3 linked regions of the Rattus norvegicus genome follow. The protein of the gene in region 1 binds, or shares a complex with, the protein of each later gene. Links are inferred from orthologs where the notes say so. Each region holds a gene or a part of one and is shown on either strand. Other genes may lie near its edges.

Region 1 (6,100 bases):
TATAAGAGTATAAAGTGTTGACTATTCATTTTTATCTTAAAAGTGGACTGTATCAATTATGATATTAACTGTTAAAGGTAGTTTTAATGTTTCCGTGTTTGTTGATGGAGGGGCACTGGTGTGCCAGAGTGGGCATGTGGAGGTCAGCGGACAACTCCATAGAGTGGGTTCTCTCTACTGTGTGTCCTGGGAACTGAACTCACGGCATGCTTACACAGCAGTTTCTCCTGTCTGCCCACCTGTCTCAAAAAGTAGCTTTTGGGCTGGAGAGATGGCTCAGCGGTTAAGAGCACCCGACTACTCTTCAAGAGGTCCTGCGTTCAATTCCCAGCAACCACATGGTGGCTCACAACCATCTGTAATGGGATCTGATGCCCTCTTCTGGTGTGTCTGAAGACAGCTACAGTGTACTTATATATAATAAATGAATGAATCTTTTTTTAAAAAAAGTAGCTTTTGCTGAGCTCATTTAAAAAAAAAGCTTAATAGGATGATGTAAATATTTTATGAGTAGGTATGACTACTTGAGAAATGACAATAAAGGCATTATTAAATGGATTAAAAGTAGGCTATCTACTTTCTTTAGTCTTCAGTAATAAAATAGGTTCTCCCTTACCTGTGGTGATTAGGTTGACCTTGTGTTAGGAGGAATACCTTTGTTGTGATTAAATATTTAGAGGTCATTGAACCTGACCAATAATAACTTACACAAAATGACATCCTGAGGACTTCATTTTGATCTCAGTTCCTTCTCTTCCTAAGGACTTTGATGCCATTCCCTGAGTATTATTAAGGGTGATGAACTTGGTAGTTTATAATAGTCATCAAATGGCTTTATGGGGATGAAAAAGGTTAATATTCTCCAAGCACACACGGTACACAAGCATAGGCAGACAGGCATAAAATAAGAGTATCGATTTTTTTTAAAGAATTTTAATTAACTTTCATTAATGTAATTGAGTTACTAAAATGATTATTATATAAAAATATAAAACATTGACTGTTCATTTTAACATAGAAAGGAAACTATATTCTGATGTTTGCTATTAAAGGTAGTTTTTAAAATTGTATTTATTGGTTCTGGGTAAGTGTGATGGAGGGACGTGCAGGTGCCAGTGTGGGCATATGGAGGTCAGAGGACAACTTTTTAAACTGAATTTTCCAGGTATTTAACGATCCTATTCATGGCCATATTGAATTCCACCCCCTCCTCATCCGAATCATTGACACACCTCAGTTCCAGCGGCTTCGCTACATCAAGCAGCTGGGAGGCGGTTACTACGTCTTCCCTGGCGCGTCACACAATCGGTTTGAACACAGTCTCGGGTAAGGAGGGAAAGGGGAGGCTCCTCTAATCCCTTAGAGAGTTACCTTTTCAAGTGGTCGTTGTAACGTCTTCTTTGTATTGGATTCCTGTCAACCGTATTTCGTTTATTTTATGTGTGTGTTTTTAAACTACTTCATATCTTTCCGAATCCTGATGTTTGCCGATCCGTCTTCAGTTGGGTTAAATACTTGTCTGAATACTTCAGTACTCGAATTGAATAGGGCTGGCTGCTGGTATGACTGAGTAGACGCTTAATTAGTTTTCCTTCAGTCCCCACCCAGTCAGTCATTTCATTTCCTTTCTTTGGGGACAGGGGCACCCAGTGGGGTTCAGGCTGACCTCAAACTCAGAGTCCTCCCGTCTCATCTCTTGAGAACTGAGATTCTGGACACCGCGCCTGGCTCCCTTTTGTTGTGTAGAGTCACCTTTTTAAACAAAGTGATTGTGTCAGGAAATTTAGAGAAATGCTCGTAAGCTCTGAGAGGGTTGCCTCTGCTCTGCAGTGAAGCTGAGACTTCGCTGTTTTCCCATCATGCGTGTAGAGCCAGGAGAAGTGGGCAGAGAGTAATTCAGAGTTCACTATTTGACTTTTCTTTCTTTCTTTTTTTTTTAATATTTATTTATTATGTATACAACATATAGCTTTCTACCTGCATGTATGCCTGCAGGCCAGAAGAGGGCATCAGATCTCAATACGGATGGTTGTGAGCCACCATGTGGTTGCTGGGAATTGAACTCAGGACCTCTGGGAGAGCAGTCAATGCTCTTTTTTTTTTTCTTTTTTCTTTTCGGAGCTGGGGACCGAACCCAGGGCCTTGTGCTTGCTAGGCAAGTGCTCTACCACTGAGCTAAATCCCCAACCCCACAGTCAATGCTCTTAACTTCTGAGCCAACTCTCCAGCCCCACTATTTGACTTTTCTAAAAAAAATTTATTGATTTATTTTATGTGTATGAGTAAACTGTAGCTGTCTTCAGACACCCAGAAGAAGGCATCAGATTCCATTACAGATGGTTGTGAGCCACCATGTGGTTGCAGGGAATTGAACTCAGGACCTCTGGAAGAGCAGCCAGTGCTCTTAACCGCTGAGCCATCTCTCCAGCCCCAGTATTTGATTATTTTTACGTACTTTGTGGTTTCCATTTGTTTTTGTTGTTGTTGTTGTTTGTTTTTGTTTTTTTTCTGGAGCTGAGGACCGAACCCAGGGCCTTGTGCTTGCTAGGCAAGCGCTCTACCACTGAGCTAAATCCCCAACCCTGTGGTTTCCATTTGTTATCTAGGCTTTTCCCTTTCTTTCTTTCTTTGTTTTGTTCAGGGTTTCAGTAAACAGCCTAGGCTGGCCTTGAACTTCTAGGCCTAATACTTCTGCCTTAGCCTTGCAAATACACAAGTTACAAGTGTGTGCCACTCTGTCCGGGTTCAATAGTCAAGATGCATGTACCTATACCCAATTTATAAACAACATTTATGAACACTTTCTAGAACCTTCCAAGGCACAAGCAAGTTGTCTGCCTTCCTAGAGCTGAGTTAGGGCAGAGGAAAGAATATATCTATTATTTTTAGGAATTGCTTTCAGAGAGAAGTGCTTGAAAGTGCATTTATCATTTTTTGTGCCTTTGTTTATCTTGTTTTGGTTTGCCTTGCTGGGGATTAGACCCAGGGTCTTACACATGCGAGTCAGGTGCCCCACAGAGCCACCACCTCAGCCCCGCGAAGCCCTCATCTTCAGTCTGTGTTGGAACATCACAGAGACACTGCTCAGAGATCAAAGTGTCAAGTTCCAAAGGTAGCTTTCATCTTTTGAACCTCGGTGTGACTTTCGGTCTTCTTCTCCGCAGAGTGGGGTACCTAGCAGGCTGCCTCGTGCGAGCGCTTGCCGAAAAACAGCCAGAGCTGCAGATCAGTGAACGAGATATGCTCTGTGTTCAGATCGCGGGGCTCTGCCATGACCTTGGTAAGATCACAGAGCTAGCATCTTGTGTAAGGTCCTACCATGTCACCTCGTCTCGGCATTCTAGCCAAAGGAAACGTAGGAGAGTTTTCATTTTTCTTTTCTTCCTCCCTGCCCTTTGGTTTTTTGAGACACGGTTTCTTCCTGTCGCCCCACTTTGTAGACAAGGCTGGCCTCAAACTCAGAAACCCACTGCCTTTCCCTCTAGGATTAAAGATGTGTGCCACTAGCACCTGGGAGTATTTTTAATTTTTTATTAATCACAGTACTTCCTAATACTGATAAGGACAAAAACATTGCTATGACTTGGGAATTTTCTGTATTAAGCATTTTTACCATGTCACATGAAAGACATCATTCATTTATTTATTATTTATTAATTAATTTATGAGATAGGGTTCTTACTGTGTAACCCAAGCTGGCCTAGAACTCACTATATAGCCCAGGCTAGCCTCTAACTCTTGGCAGTCCTCCTGCTTCCGCCTCCAGCATGCTGAGATTACAACCATGAGCCAGTGCCCTGGGCTGAAAGGGCTTTGTGCCCTGAGTTTCTCTTATTCTGTCTTTGGGAGAATGTGATGGGATTTGAGTAAAATAGCTTTTTCCTTTAGTTCCTTTGTAAAATCCACCCCTTCTCACAATTATCACAGGTTTAGAAAAAATGTTCTTCCCTGACTCATAGGAGGTCTTAGGCCAATTAAACTCAAGTAGAAGAATTTCATCCTTTTCATCTTGAGGAAGAAAAAGTTGACTGCCCCAGCTGCTGTTTAGTTACAGGAGAGAGAGAGAGAGAGAGAGAGAGAGAGAGAGAGAGAGAGAGAGAGAGAGCGAGCATGCATGCACACTTCTGTGGGCAGACCCTAAAGGAGCAGAGTGTGGAGCACTGTCTTTCTGTCAGCCCGTAGAGTCCAGGAGGCTCGGCAGCCCTTCTTAGAAGATGCTTGGCTCTTCTCTGCATTTTGGTTTGGGCTGTCAGACTCAAATGCAGAACCTGTACGTGCTAGGCCTTTGCTCTCCCTCTGAGCTGCAACCCCAGCCCGAAATAAATAAACCTTGATTATTTTATGAAAACTCTTTAGTATTCCTTGTAGTAAATTCAAAACAGGAGACAGATCTAAGATCCAATATGATATGGCCTTGCTTCTTATTCTGTTGTTCTGGAAAATTGAAAGGGCAGATTTGTCCTTTTTTTTTGTTTTGTTTTGCTTCGTTAATTTATATATTATTAACAGTAACAGATATTCAAAGTAAACTAAAAAAAATTTTTTTTAAAATTCAGTTTTTGGGGTTTGGGATTTAGCTCAGTGGTAGAGCGCTTGCCTAGCAAGTGCAAGGCCCTGGGTTTGGTCCCCAGCTCCGAAAAAAAGAAAAAAAAAGAATTCAGTTTTTACCAATTTACAAATATTTTTTTATTTGAAGGCTGCTTTTGTTTTTAGGTCATGGGCCATTCTCCCATATGTTTGATGGAAGATTTATTCCACTTGCTCGCCCAGACATAAAGTGGAGGGTATGTATTCCGTGTCCCAAAGTCAGTGGAAAGAAACAGAATCTTATCTAGTTACTCAACTATATTCTCTGTTTTCCCTCTCTGTGCTCTAGCATCCTTCCCTGGAACAGCATTCAGGGTCCTTCTGTTCACCTGTGTCTGTTTCAGTCCTCACAGTAGCCTGTGGAGAAAGAACCTTATCTTCCATTCAGAGTCCTCAGGAACATAGAGATGTGCCTGACTGCACATAGCCATGGAGTGGTGGACCAGCCCTAGAGAGCCAGCCCTCCTGGTTCAGAGCAGCATCCTTTCTACTCTGTCACATTACTGCAGATATATATATATATATATATATATATATATATATATATATATATATATATATATATAATGTATACAGCATTCTGCCTGCAGAACCAGAATCCTCAGGCACCAGATCTCATTATAGGTCATTATGAACCACCATGTGGTTGCTGGGACTTGAACTCAGGACCTCTGGAAGAGCAGTCAGTGCTCTTAACTCTGAGCCATCTCTGCAGCCCCTAGAGTTTGTTTTTAAAGCCCAGCTTCAGTTTTTATTTTGGTATAGTTAAGCGTCACTGGTTTTAGTCATTGAGCGTTTGTTTTTAATACAGGGTTTTCCTGTATAGTCTAGATTGACTTTGACCGCTCCCTCTGCCGCAACCTCCCCAATGCTGAGATGTTACGCCCTCACCCCAAGCTTTAAGTGAACCCTTTATAATTACGCATTTACTGGTGATGAACCTGGACATTTTGAAGCAGTTTCTGAGAAATGGAATTGACTTCCTGGTTTCTACTACACTGGGAAGGAAAAAGCACAGGAACCTTAGCCGAAAGCTTATGCCAAACTGTTTTTTTTTTCTCTGCCTTTTTTTGGAGTATATTGCATTCACTAAATTACACAGATTTTTGTGGTGGCGCTTTTATTTTGAGACAAGGTGGCCTTGGAGACTGAGCTGGCCTTGAAACTGGGAGATTGCCTGCTTCCGTTTCTCTAGAGCTGGGATATAAAGCGCGTACTATGACTCCCGGCTGAGATTGTGGAGAGCTGACTTGAGTTTGGCAAGTGTACACATGCAGTGGGGATGTGGACCATTCTCATCGTTCAGAAAGCCCTCCCTGTGGCCCGGCTTGTTTTCTGTGATGCTGGGAATCAAACCCACAGCAGAGCATGCGCACAGCTTAGTCTGTCTCCTCTCAGACTTGGTGTCTTGGTTTCCCTTGTATTGTCTAATCTGTTGCAAATATGATTTCCTGTTGTTTGCACTTTGTGTGTGTGTGAGGGGGCGGAGGGAGAGGTGTGTGTGTGTGTGTGT
Region 2 (6,100 bases), on another chromosome or scaffold:
TGCTAGGCTGGTTCGTCATTGATCATGGGTTTTCTTCTTCTTCCCCAGTATTAGGATACAAACATGCATCACCATGCATAGATTGACTGAACTGGCTTTTTTTTTTTTCTTTTTTTCTTTTCTCTTTCTGGTTGGTTTTAGGGTTCAAACTTCAGTCCTGTGGTGGCCAGGCAGATAATTTACAGACTAAACTATCTGTCAGTTGTACCTTGCCATTGCTGTTGTTGTGTGGTAGATTTGCCTTTGCTCATATGGTCTCATTTGTAACCTAATTTCAGGATGTTAAAATAGGACAGTGGTTCTCAACCTGTGGGTTGTAACCTCTTTGAGGTTGAAAGCCCTTTCCTGGGTCGCATATCAGATATCATGCTCATCAGATATTTACATTGATTCATAACAATAGCAAAGTTATAGTTCTGGAATAGCAATGAAAAATATTTTATGATTGAGGGTAACCACAACTGTATTAAAAAATTATAGCGGGGTTGGGGATTTGGCTCAGTGGTAGAGCGCTTGCCTAGGAGGCGCAAGGTCCTGGGTTCGGTCCCCAGCCCCGAAAAAAAGAAAAAAAAAAAGAATTATAGCATTAGGAAAGTTGAGAACCAACCACTGGTATAGACGGTTCTAGAGTAGGGTACTTTGTCTACTGTAACTGGCACCATACAGTTCTTACAAAGAGAGTCATACTAATAAAATTTGGCTTTCTAAGTGGTTCAGATATTTCTGCACTTGTGTTTGTGCAATTCCCAGGACTTCCCTTTATGATAATTACTAAATTGGGACAAACAATGAAGGACAAGAGCTTGATAACCTGACTGAGGACTATCTCAGAAACACAGCAAAGAAGAAAGCATGTATGAGAAGGTTGCTAAGGTGAAGTGATGACTAGAGCTCCTCAGGCCAATGCCCAGGAATGACACTGCCTAAGGCTCAAGCACCTATTTTTAATCTTTTAATAGTGGATAAGGTTCCTATAGCTGTGATAGTGGCTAAGCTGAGTGCATGTGGCTTTTCCATGAAGGTTTTAATATCATGACTGCTTTTGTCCCTTTTACCTAGGAAATATGCACACAGACTTTGGTGACTTTCACACTTCCCATTATCCCTCTGTATTAAAGTATACATGAGATATTATACCATTAAGGCACAGAGAATGTAGCAGAATGATTCTTGTACTATTTTTTGGTTGGTTGGCTGGTATTTGGATGGCTTGTGTTGAGATGGGGTTCCATGTATTCCAGGCTGGTCTCTGACTCAGTATATAGCTGAGGATGACCGACCTCCACCTACTGCACGCTGGATACATTCGTGTGTACCACCATGTGTGGCTAGCATTTTTTTTTTTTCTTCTTCCTTCCTTTCTTTCTTAAGTAGAGTGAAATGAATAGAATTTCAAACTATGAAGTTGTGTCAACACTGGGGGCAGCAGTCATTAATGTTTTTGTTTGTTTGTTGTTTTTTTTGTTTTTGTTTTGAGACAGGGTTTCTCTATGTAGCCCTGACTGTCCTGGAACTTGCTCTGTAGACTGGATTGGCCTCAAATTCACATAGATCCACCTGCCCCTGCTTCTGAAAGGCATGTACCACTACTGCCTGGCAGCCATTAGCTTTTGTTTAAAAAAATAGAGAGGGAGGGAGGGAGGGAGGGAGGAGGGAGTAGGGAGGGGTGTGTGTGTGTGTTCGTGTGTTTGTGTTCCTGTAGATGAAACACATGTAGAGACTAGAAGACAACTAGCTTTTGGGTGTTAGCTCTTTCCTCTTATATTGTTGCTGTGGATTCTGTGAACTTCTAAGCAGTCTGTTTGCCCATCATCTTTGTCTTCCTGTGGAAGTGCTGCTATTACAGATTAGTACAGCATCCAGCATTTTGTTTTTTTTAAAACATGGGTTCTGGTTGTCAAACTCAACTCATCAGGCTTGTACGTTACACAGCAAGCATTTTTACCCTCTGAGCCATCTCCTTGGCCCTTTTAAAACTCTCTAAAGTAAAGGTACCTTGCTCACATACACTTTCCACTTCTTCCTTCCCACCCTCTTCTGCTATCATGTCCCGTGCACGCGTATTTAAATTCAGATTCTGTATATAAGACAGAATGCTTCACTTTGTTTGTCTTCCTCCCAGCACCCTCATCTTTTCCCTTTTTAAGACCCCTCCTTTGCCACACATGGTAGTGTATGCCTTTAATCCCAGCACTTGGGAGGCAAAGGCAGGTGGATCTCTCAGTCGGAGTCTAACCAGGTCTACAGAGTGAATTCTAGGACAGCCAGGGCTGTGAAGAGAGAGACTGTCTCATAAACAAAACAAAACAATAAAATAAACCAAAAGGGTCACCATTTTTCTCTTAGTTAGGGTCCATTTTAGTTCCATGCCATTTTTGGTGTGAGTTTCTTTTGAGACAGGTTCTTACTCTAGTCCAGGCTGACCTGAAATTTACTATGTAGGCCAAGCTTGCATTGAAATTGTTAGTATCTTCCTACCTTGGCTTTCGAATGCTGCCACCCTAGATGTCTGGGTTTTTCTTCTTTTTCATTTTAATTCTAGATTTTGTATATGGATTATGTTATATTTTAGATATAACATATATAACATATCTTGAGATCCATCCATTTTCTTATTTGATTTGTGTGTGTTCTTGCATACCATGGTGTATATGTGGAGGATAAGAGGGTAATGTACTTACTGGAGTAAGTTCTCTCCACAAATGTCAGTTCTTAGGATAAAACTCGTATCTGGAGGCTTGATGCCAAGAGCTTTTACTCAATAAGCCATTATGCCAGCTCCATCTATTTTCTTGTAAAATAACATAATTTCATTCTTTTTTTATTGCTGAGTAAGATTCATCGCGCACAATGCCTTCTTTGTCCATCTGTCTGTTGATGGATGCTTATACTGAGCCCATAACTTGGCTGTTGTTAATAGTGCACAGTAAAGATGGATATATAAAGTGTTCCTGTAATATGCTGACATGGATCTTCTAGCTATTAGTTTTATGAAGAATAATATATTTTTTTTTTCTGTGTTGTAGGTATCAGCATTATTTTGGGAGTGGCTGAGGGTGAGTTCTTTATCCATGATGCTGAAATTCAGAAGTCAGCACTTCAAATTATCATCAATTGTGTATGTGGCCCAGATAACCGAATATCCAGTATTGGCAAATTTATTTCTGGAACTCCTCGGAGAAAGCTGTCTCAGACCCCCAAAAGCAGTGAGCATACGCTGGCCAAGATGTGGAATGTGGTCCAGTCCAACAATGGCATCAAGGTGCTTCTGTCCCTGTTGTCCATCAAGATGCCCATTACAGATGCAGACCAGATCCGGGCCCTGGCCTGCAAGGCCCTTGTGGGCCTCTCTCGAAGTAGCACTGTTCGGCAGATCATCAGTAAACTTCCCCTTTTCAGTAGCTGCCAGATTCAACAGCTGATGAAGGAGCCTGTGCTGCAGGATAAGCGTAGTGACCATGTCAAGTTCTGCAAGTACGCTGCTGAGCTCATTGAGCGTGTATCAGGAAAGCCTCTTCTCATTGGCACTGATGTGTCTCTCGCACGACTGCAGAAAGCAGATGTTGTTGCTCAGTCGAGGATCTCCTTCCCTGAGAAAGAGCTGCTCCTGTTGATCCGGAACCATCTCATTTCTAAAGGGCTTGGAGAGACAGCAACTGTGCTGACGAGAGAGGCTGACCTGCCCATGACTGCTGCCTCACATTCTTCTGCTTTCACCCCAGTAACTGCTGCTGCTTCTCCTGTCTCTCTTCCCCGGACCCCTCGGATTGCCAACGGCATTGCAAGTCGACTGGGCAGCCATGCTGCTGTGGGTGCTTCTGCCCCTTCTGCTCCCCCGGCCCATCCTCCACCACGCCCCCCCCAGGGTTCATTGGCTTTGCCTGGCCCATCGTATGCAGGCAACTCTCCTTTGATTGGTAGGATCAGTTTTATCAGAGAGAGGCCATCACCTTGCAATGGCAGGAAAATTCGAGTGTTGCGGCAGAAGTCGGACCATGGTGCATACAGCCAGAGCCCTGCCATAAAAAAACAATTGGATAGACATCTTCCTTCCCCACCTACGCTGGACAGTATCATCACAGAGTATCTTAGAGAGCAACATGCTCGATGCAAGAACCCCGTTGCCACCTGTCCTCCTTTTTCTCTCTTTACTCCTCATCAGTGTCCTGAGCCAAAACAGAGGCGGCAGGCGCCAATAAACTTTACCTCAAGGCTAAACCGCAGGGCATCATTTCCAAAATATGGAGGGGTGGATGGTGGATGCTTTGATAGGCACCTTATCTTTAGCAGGTAAGGAGAGGCTCCCTGAATTCCTTGGGATGATTCTTTTATTTAAATCAGTGTTTGGTTAGTATCATCACTGAGTGATTAGTTAAAGTCATTTGCTGGCCTGCAGTATTGATTAACTCAGTGTCCTTCATGTGCTATGTGAGCTGATCAGTCAGTTATGGACTTCTTTAGATTCTTGGCAGTGCTTACATACCTTTGCTGTTGTCACACCCAGTAGGCTGCTTTAGGACTTAAACAATTCATTGTTTCCCGCCATTGCTCAAACTGTCTCTTTCTTTATAAATCATAGATACAGATTATCTGTCTGCACACTTTCTACAAGTCTTTTTTTTTTAATTGAAAATTTAAATTATTGAATGCCAGTGTAATTCTTTAGAATCCACATTTTGAAACATAATACTCTTTCCTTACAACATCTAGCAAAATTTGTTTTTCAGAGTTCCCCCACATTCTTTTTTCTGATTATATCCCCCCTTGTTTAGATTCCGTCCTATTTCAGTGTTCCGGGAAGCTAATGAGGATGAAAGTGGCTTCACCTGTTGTGCTTTCTCGGCCCGGGAGCGCTTCCTGATGCTTGGCACCTGCACAGGGCAGCTGAAGCTCTACAATGTTTTTAGTGGGCAGGAAGAGGCCAGCTACAACTGTCACAATTCTGCCATCACACATCTTGAACCGTCGAGGGTGAGGATTCCTTTCCTGGGTGCTCTCAGTTTTTTTTTTTTTTTTTTTTTCCTTTTTTTTGGAGCTGGGGACCGAACCCAGGGCCTTGTGCTTGGTAGGCAAGTGCTCTACCGCTGAGCTAAATCCCCAACCCCTGGGTGCTCTCATTTTGAGATTGATTGGGGAGCTAGAGTTGAAAGAGTTTTACCATTTATTGGACTTTATTTTATACGAATGGTTAACTAGAGTTGATGTGGAATCAGATTTCAGAAGGGAAATGAAATACTTGGCCATCTTTTGATAGGGGAGTTTTAGCTACGTGTACATTGGAAACAGGAATGATTGTGAGTTCAAAGCCAGTTTGGGTTACAGAGTAAGTTCTCTTCCAGCCAGAGAATCTATTTCAACAAAAGAAAAACAAACAAAACAAAAAAGTCCAGGCCAGCAAGGTGGATTAGTGGAGAAAGGTGCTTACTGTGCAAATCCTGACTGCCTCATTTTATTCCTTGGAACCCACGTAAAGGTAGAAGGAGAAACTAACGCTAACTCTGCAAAGTTATCTTCTGACTTCTACATGCATGACCGTACCTGTATATCATACACACATGCATAATAAGTAAATTATAAAAATAGAACCACCTGGGGCTGGAGAGATAGATGACTTAGTGGTTGAGAGCACTGATTGCTCTTCCAGAGGTCCTGAGTTCAATTCCCAGCAACCACATGGTGGCTCACAACCATCTGTAACGGGATCTGAAGCCTCTTCTGGCATGTCTGAAGACAACTAAAAAAAAAACCCAAACTTTAGGCCCCTAGTGATAAATATATTTTTCAAGTCCCCTATAGGCACATGTAATTAAAATCCTAGTGATTTTTAACTCCTCTGCCTTATAGGATGGGTCCTTACTTCTGACGTCTGCCACTTGGAGCCAGCCTTTGTCTGCACTTTGGGGGATGAAATCAGTATTTGATATGAAGTATGTATTTATTTATTGTAGCATTGTATCTTGTATTTTGTGTTTTATTTACCCACTTTATTTCTTTCTATCCTATTTTAAATTATAAGCTGCTTTGGGGAAAGAGGAATATTGTCAACTGTTGTTAATTTTCTTCCTTTCTCACTTGACATCCACATTTAATAAGAATTTGT
Region 3 (6,434 bases), on another chromosome or scaffold:
GTATTACGCTTGCCTGTGCTGGTACATGTAGAGGCTAGAGAGAGTACTTGACTTTGGGGTATCTTCAATCACTTTTCTATATCATTTCTTAATCAAAGGTCTCATTGGGGCTCACTGATTTGGCTAGACAGCCTGGCCATCAAACTGCAGGGAACTGAGTATTTCAACCCTTTTTCTTCTTCCCGTCTAGGGTTGCAGACAATGCCACAACATCTAGCTTGAGTGGTGCTGGGAATGCAATGCACATCTTCATGCTTATCCAGCAGGCACTGCACTGCCATTTCCCAGCCCCCCAGTTCACTTAGTTCTACTGATGGGGTAGGAGGAGGGTATGGAAACTATTATTACACAGATTCCCCTATCTCAAGATAATTTAAATGGTAAAAACTAGAGCTGAGTATATTAATGCCCAATAGCACTCAGGAGGCTAAGGCAAGATTGTCAGCCTAGGTTACGGAGTGAATTTCAGGCCAGTCTGGCCCACAGAATGAGACCCTGTTTAACAAACACCAAGTCCCTTACAGATTATAGTTAGTCTGTTTGAACATGGTATGACAGACTTGATATCTTTACTAACATTTGGTAATATATGCCATTTACCCAATTCTAGTTACTCCCTCATTGTGATCTGACTATGTCAACCTGTAGGTTCTGCGATCTCAAAACATACATAATATATATTTATTTATTTATTTTAAAATTTGATGTTAAGTACTTGTCCTAACAGAACCATTGTATTATCTACTCATCTCTTGAGGAAGATGACACGTTAAGGTAATTCTCAGTCCTCTTAGTAGCCTACTGATGTATACTTCTTTTTTGGGATTAAGGTTATCCTAGAGCTATGAGGACAGTAGCCCTAAAACCAGAATAAGATATTCAGTGTTGCTTTGCCATTAGGGTGTTTTTATCGAAAGAGATAAATACTTTGACTTTAATGTCATACACAGAATCACCCCATGCTATGGATATATCTATTGTCTTAGAAGACGAAAAGCCAGTGAATGTTAATGAAGTACCTGACTATCATGAAGATATTCACACGTACCTTAGGGAAATGGAGGTAAGGCTCTGTTCATCAAAAATGGCTAAGTGAAGCAGAGAGGCTAACGATGGACACCTGCTAACTGCTAGCAAGTTACTCCAACGCTAAACTTAACGGCTACAGTGTATGTTAATTGTGTCTTTGTGAATGGTGAAGTAACTAATCATAGTTTTAATTAACCCTACTGAGTTTTTCTTCAGGTTAAATGTAAACCTAAAGTGAGTTATATGAAGAGGCAGCCAGACATCACTAACAGTATGCGGGCCATCCTTGTGGACTGGCTAGTTGAAGTGGGAGAAGAATATAAACTACAGAATGAGACCCTGCATTTGGCTGTGAACTACATTGATAGATTCCTCTCCTCCATGTCTGTGTTAAGAGGAAAGCTTCAGCTTGTGGGCACAGCTGCTATGCTGCTAGCTTCGTAAGTCTAGCTAATTTGGTTCAAAATCATCACTCACCACTCCTTCCCCCCATTTATATTCCATTTATATTTTATTGGGTGTTTTGCCTTTGTGCATCGTGCGTATCTGTAGCACATGTGTGGTGCCTGCTGAGGCCAAAAGAGGGCATTGGGTCCCAGTCATTGTGCCATCTCTTCAACCCCCAGTTTTAACACTGACACCTTTAGGGATGGCTATGGGATGATTCTGAGTAGAGGGTGAAACTTGTTTTCAAGTCTAAAATATAAAGCTTTCCAGATCTGGATTTTACATGCCTTGAATGAGAATACATTTTATCACACTAGATGAAGAGTTTGAAAGTATGGTTCTTCTACAATAAAGTGCTTTCTGGAGTATAAACAAATTCTTCCTTACATCAGGAAATTTAAAAAAAAATTGTATTCAGGAGACAAATCAGAAGTCCCTTAGTGATTTGGGCCTATGAATTGGTTTTTAATCATCTCAGCTAGAGATGGCAGTCAACTGTCAGTGGGAGTGTGGTTGGTGGAAGTGAGTAGAGTACAGTCTATGTAGACAAGACCTTCTTTTGAAAAAACTCATTTACAACTTCTTTTGTTATAGAAAGTTTGAAGAAATATACCCCCCAGAAGTAGCAGAGTTTGTGTATATTACGGACGATACCTATTCCAAGAAGCAGGTTCTGAGAATGGAGCACCTTGTATTGAAAGTCCTTGCTTTTGACTTGGCTGCACCAACAGTAAATCAGTTCCTTACCCAGTACTTCCTGCACCTGCAGCCTGCCAACTGCAAGGTAGAAAGCTTAGCGATGGTAAGTCCAGTTTGGGGTTTGTTTTAGGTTGCAATTAGGGGCAAGCCCTTAGTTTCATTGTATAACACTGCTTAAGAGAGAAAGTATTTCCAGATAGTTAATGCTCCAATACACAGAAAATCCTATAGCCCTCTATATCTGTGGGCTCTGCGCATATGGAATCAATGAACAGACATTAAATGTAACTGCCTATGTACTGGATAAACACATATCAATCGATCTTTTTTGTATTACACGTAATATTGTACTAGTGATATGCATGTAGCATTAGCTTATGAAATGGCATATGTAAGAGACTTGAGTATCTGGTGTCCGTGGATAAGGGCTGAGAGGTCCAGGAGAGAATTTTCCAATGAAGGCCCAAAGATGACCATTCCAGAAAGGCACTAACTAGTGGTTTAAAGAGAACATCCTAGTAGCTGTTTTAAGTTATTAGCTGAGAATAGAGCAGAACATTGAAATAATTTTCCCAGGGCTGGTACGGAACCAGTGAGAGTACCCAAGACAATAGAAACTGGTCAAGAAGCAAGGTTTTGAATCTGAGTCTGATGTGTGACTGTAAAGTTGTTTTGGTTTTGGTTTTCATTGCAGTTTTTGGGAGAGTTAAGTTTGATAGATGCTGACCCATACCTCAAGTATTTGCCATCGCTTATTGCTGGAGCTGCCTTCCACTTAGCTCTCTACACAGTCACAGGACAAAGCTGGGTATGTATTAACTGTTGCCTTCACAAGTATTGGTGTTCTTTGTCTTAACCTTAAACTTGCATTTGAAAGCTCTGCTTCTAGAGTCTGAGTCACCTGCTGCGAGCAGGGGAAGTAAACAGTCAAAAGAGTGAGCTAAAATGTGGGGGTTGGCACTCTCGGAGGCAAAGGGGAGGGGTCAACATTTGGAATGTAAATAAATTTATAAAAATTAAAATTAAAAAATGTGTCAAAGATTAGTGCCAACATTTAGATCAACTGTGAGTTCATGGTCAGTGCCCTGTGCTGTTACTAAAAACTCAATGGTTGTCTCTTTGTAGCCTGAGTCATTGGTACAAAAGACTGGATATACCCTAGAAAGTCTTAAGCCTTGTCTCATGGACCTTCACCAGACCTACCTCAAAGCACCACAGCATGCCCAACAGTCAATAAGGGAAAAGTACAAGCATTCAAAGTAAGAACCATATTCTTTACTGACTAAAGGATAACAGTAATATGCCACAGCCACCTCAGTAAGATCTTATGTCAACATAGGAAGCTTTTGTGCCTTTGCATCTGGTAAGAGATGGGTAAGGGAACAGATATGTGTCCTAAGTATCAAATGTTTTTAAACTCATTAGTCTAATCAAATAAAAGTAGCATTTCTCCAGTCTTGGGACGCATAAATTGTTTGTTCTGTGATCTCCCCGATGAATGTTTACTAATAGGTTTTTATTTCCTCTGCTTAACAGATATCACAGTGTTTCTCTTCTCAACCCACCAGAGACACTAAATGTGTGAGAGTGAAAGACTGAAATGGAAATCGCTCAGAGTTCATGCTGTACAGTTTTTATCTTTGGTTTTAATTTCACAATCATTTCTGAATGTAGATGGTATAGCCACAGACAAATTATGTTATCCATTACTTTTAAAATGGTTTTAATTTGTATATCTTTTGTACATGTGTCTATCTTAGATTTTGGCTAATTTTTAATTGGTTTGTTAACATTGGTGCTGCCAACTGTCAAGATAATAAGAATAAATTGATTTGGAAATCTTTGAAAGTGATAGATAATTTGGCTAATTTTAATTGGTTTGTTAACATTGGTGCTGCCAACTGTCAGGATAATAAGAATAAATTGATTCAGAAATCTTTGCAAGTCAAAGTTAATTTGAGGCAAAAAGAATGATGTCACTTAAAAAAGCTAATTTGATTTGTTTTATTGTTGAGGGTGGGGTAGGGAAAGCTTTTTATAAAATAAAATATTTCAGGGAAAGATGCCTTCAAATTTTGACATTGATTTTAATAATTGTAAGCAACCAAACCAAGTTTCTGACTTGGTTATAAGTAACCAAAAGTAGATGAATCTGTTTTCAGTGTAGCAGAACTCATTCAGAGCTCACATGTTACAGTAGTTTATGGAGACATTTTATTTACCAACTTTTACAAATAAGGTTTTACATGAATTGGGAAGCTTTTATGCAACAGAAAAGTTTTCCAGAAAGTTTATTCGAAGCATAATGTTAAAGACAAAACAGTTTATTAAGTTCAGCTCATAATAGATTTTCAAATAAAAAATATCCAGAGCTGTTAGCACTGAGCAAATACCCTCTTATTAGTTATATATATATATATTTTATATATATATATACATACACATCCACACCACTTTAGCTTAATTAGCAGTTCTCTTCTTTTTCCTCCTTTTCCCTTGACTTTTACTTGGTGCCTTCTGGTTTGCACTGGTCTGAGCTCTGTGAATAAAGTAATATAACAGCTCACTGTACCCCCATCTGTCCTGGATTAGACCACTTGGACCATTTTATAGAACTACGGCCAGTTTTTAAATGTATATTTGAAAGAGACCAGAAATTTGTTACCTTATTTTTTTTGGACTCTTCTCTGGCTCCAAAATAATCATTTCTTCTTCTTCACTATCTGATAGCACTATAGGGGCACCTTTAAGAAAATTCCAAAAAAGGAGTTTACTACTTGACCACATCAGAGGTCCTAATGCTCCCATTTCCAGGCTAACTAAAAGCTCAACTATGCTGCCTGGAGGCTGATACATACTCTTTCCAAATCTTACCCTATTCTAAGTAGCTCCTCGCAGCTCTGAAAATTTGTAAAAACTGATGTTTTCTGTAAGCTTTTTCTTTTTTTCTTTCTCTCCCAGAGGACATGTAAGCTAGGATGTTCTTGCTACCAGAGCTGACCATGAAAACTGTAGAAAACTGCTTTTTTGCCATTTTTCTCTTGAACAGTAATTATATATGTGTGTAAATAAAGCTTGCAATTTAACCCTTTGCCCATTTGGCTGGCTGTGTGTTTCACTGCTCGGGATTCTTTTTTTTTTTTTGTTTTTGTTTTTTTTTGTTTTTGTTTTTTTTCGGAGCTGGGGACTGAACCCAGGGCCTTGCGCTTCCTAGGCAAGCGCTCTACCACTGAGCTAAATCCCCAACCCCGCTCGGGATTCTTAAAACCAGAAACAAAGGCCTCTGAAAAGAGGTATACACATGTGCAGAGTGAGATGATAAGAAATAGCATCACTAATCCTAATTAGGCTCTTTACCTTAAAATACCCAGTTACCTAATTCATTTTTTTCTTTTTTTTTTTTTTTTTGGAGCTGGGGATCGAACCCAGGGCCTTGTGCTTGCTAGGCAAGCACTCTACCGCTGAGCTAAATCCCCAACCCCCCAGTTACCTAATTAAACCAACACTGTTCCCCTGTCAAAACAATACCACCAAAGGCTTACGTAACAATTCCCTTTTATGAAGGCAGGCAGAATGTTCTCTCAGTGCATATTGCCATGAGTTCTGGTAATAGCACTCAGATTTGGGGGCTTGGGGGTGGTCACAATTGCCTGCAACTCTAGATCTGGTGCCTGATTAGCCTTCAAGGCACTCATAAAATCTGTAGCACACATATAGTAAGTCTTTTAGCATGTACTATACAAGAGAACCAGAATTCAGTTCCTGGCATCCATATTGGGTTGCTCATAACTTTCTGGGACTCCAGCAAGTTCCTCTGAACTCCACCCTGGCATACTCAAGAACACATCTAGCTTCTAAAGAATACTATACCCTAAAAAGATGGTCACTGCTACCAATGTGGCCACACCTACTAACTTCAGACAAGCCACATTTAAAATGTTCAACATTACGAACAGTAGTGGCTGCTACCTTAGCCAACGTACAAAGTAACATTTCTTACCACAGATAATTGTACTGAGCAGTACTGTGCCATCATAGTTTGTTTTGAAGTTTTGTGTGTATATGTGCTGGCACCCACAGGCCAGAAGATGGTCAGTTTCCTTGGAGCTGGAATTAGGAGGGCATTGGATCCAAACTCTGGTTACCATGATTGAGCATCAAGTATCACCACAGCTGAACCACCTTTCTGGCCCATGTCAGGAGCTTTTTTATATTTGAAGTGAACTAAACAAGGCTGTTGTCAGGACGAAATCTTTAAG

The links. Proteins that work in one complex are often made in the same cells at the same time.
Region 2: the proteins of Samhd1 (region 1) and Dcaf1 are in contact, whole or in part, in a crystal structure (PDB 4CC9), measured with the Homo sapiens proteins. The link is inferred for Rattus norvegicus from reciprocal best matches to the Homo sapiens genes SAMHD1 and DCAF1. Residues at the interface, in NP_056289.2 of Homo sapiens: Ser616, Arg617, Val618, Gln619, Lys622; in NP_001336097.1 of Homo sapiens: Asn1090, Glu1091, Asp1092, Thr1114, Gln1116, Asn1132.
Region 3: the proteins of Samhd1 (region 1) and Ccna2 are in contact, whole or in part, in a cryo-EM structure (PDB 9HIW), measured with the Homo sapiens proteins. The link is inferred for Rattus norvegicus from reciprocal best matches to the Homo sapiens genes SAMHD1 and CCNA2. Residues at the interface, in NP_056289.2 of Homo sapiens: Lys615, Ser616, Arg617, Val618, Gln619, Leu620, Phe621, Lys622; in NP_001228.2 of Homo sapiens: Met210, Ile213, Leu214, Trp217, Glu220, Val221, Glu224, Arg250, Leu253, Gln254, Tyr280, Ile281, Thr282, Asp283, Asp284, Thr285.

Annotation. Positions count from the first base shown.
Region 1 is NC_086021.1:166,199,620-166,205,719, reverse strand, and holds part of Samhd1 (deoxynucleoside triphosphate triphosphohydrolase SAMHD1), read left to right. Parts: intron 1-1,165; coding exon 1,166-1,326; intron 1,327-3,164; coding exon 3,165-3,280; intron 3,281-4,713; coding exon 4,714-4,784; intron 4,785-6,100.
Region 2 is NC_086026.1:116,393,753-116,399,852, forward strand, and holds part of Dcaf1 (DDB1- and CUL4-associated factor 1), read left to right. Parts: intron 1-3,026; coding exon 3,027-4,290; intron 4,291-4,772; coding exon 4,773-4,971; intron 4,972-5,844; coding exon 5,845-5,927; intron 5,928-6,100. UniProt on the Homo sapiens protein: Acts both as a substrate recognition component of E3 ubiquitin-protein ligase complexes and as an atypical serine/threonine-protein kinase, playing key roles in various processes such as cell cycle, telomerase regulation and histone modification.
Region 3 is NC_086020.1:121,353,043-121,359,476, reverse strand, and holds the end of Ccna2 (cyclin-A2), read left to right. Parts: intron 1-950; coding exon 951-1,063; intron 1,064-1,245; coding exon 1,246-1,469; intron 1,470-2,070; coding exon 2,071-2,278; intron 2,279-2,869; coding exon 2,870-2,983; intron 2,984-3,300; coding exon 3,301-3,434; intron 3,435-3,711; coding exon 3,712-3,760; 3' UTR 3,761-4,114; downstream 4,115-6,434. Other genes in the region: Exosc9 (exosome complex component RRP45), read right to left, coding at 4,636-4,714, 4,841-4,976. UniProt on the Homo sapiens protein: Cyclin which controls both the G1/S and the G2/M transition phases of the cell cycle. Functions through the formation of specific serine/threonine protein kinase holoenzyme complexes with the cyclin-dependent protein kinases CDK1 or CDK2.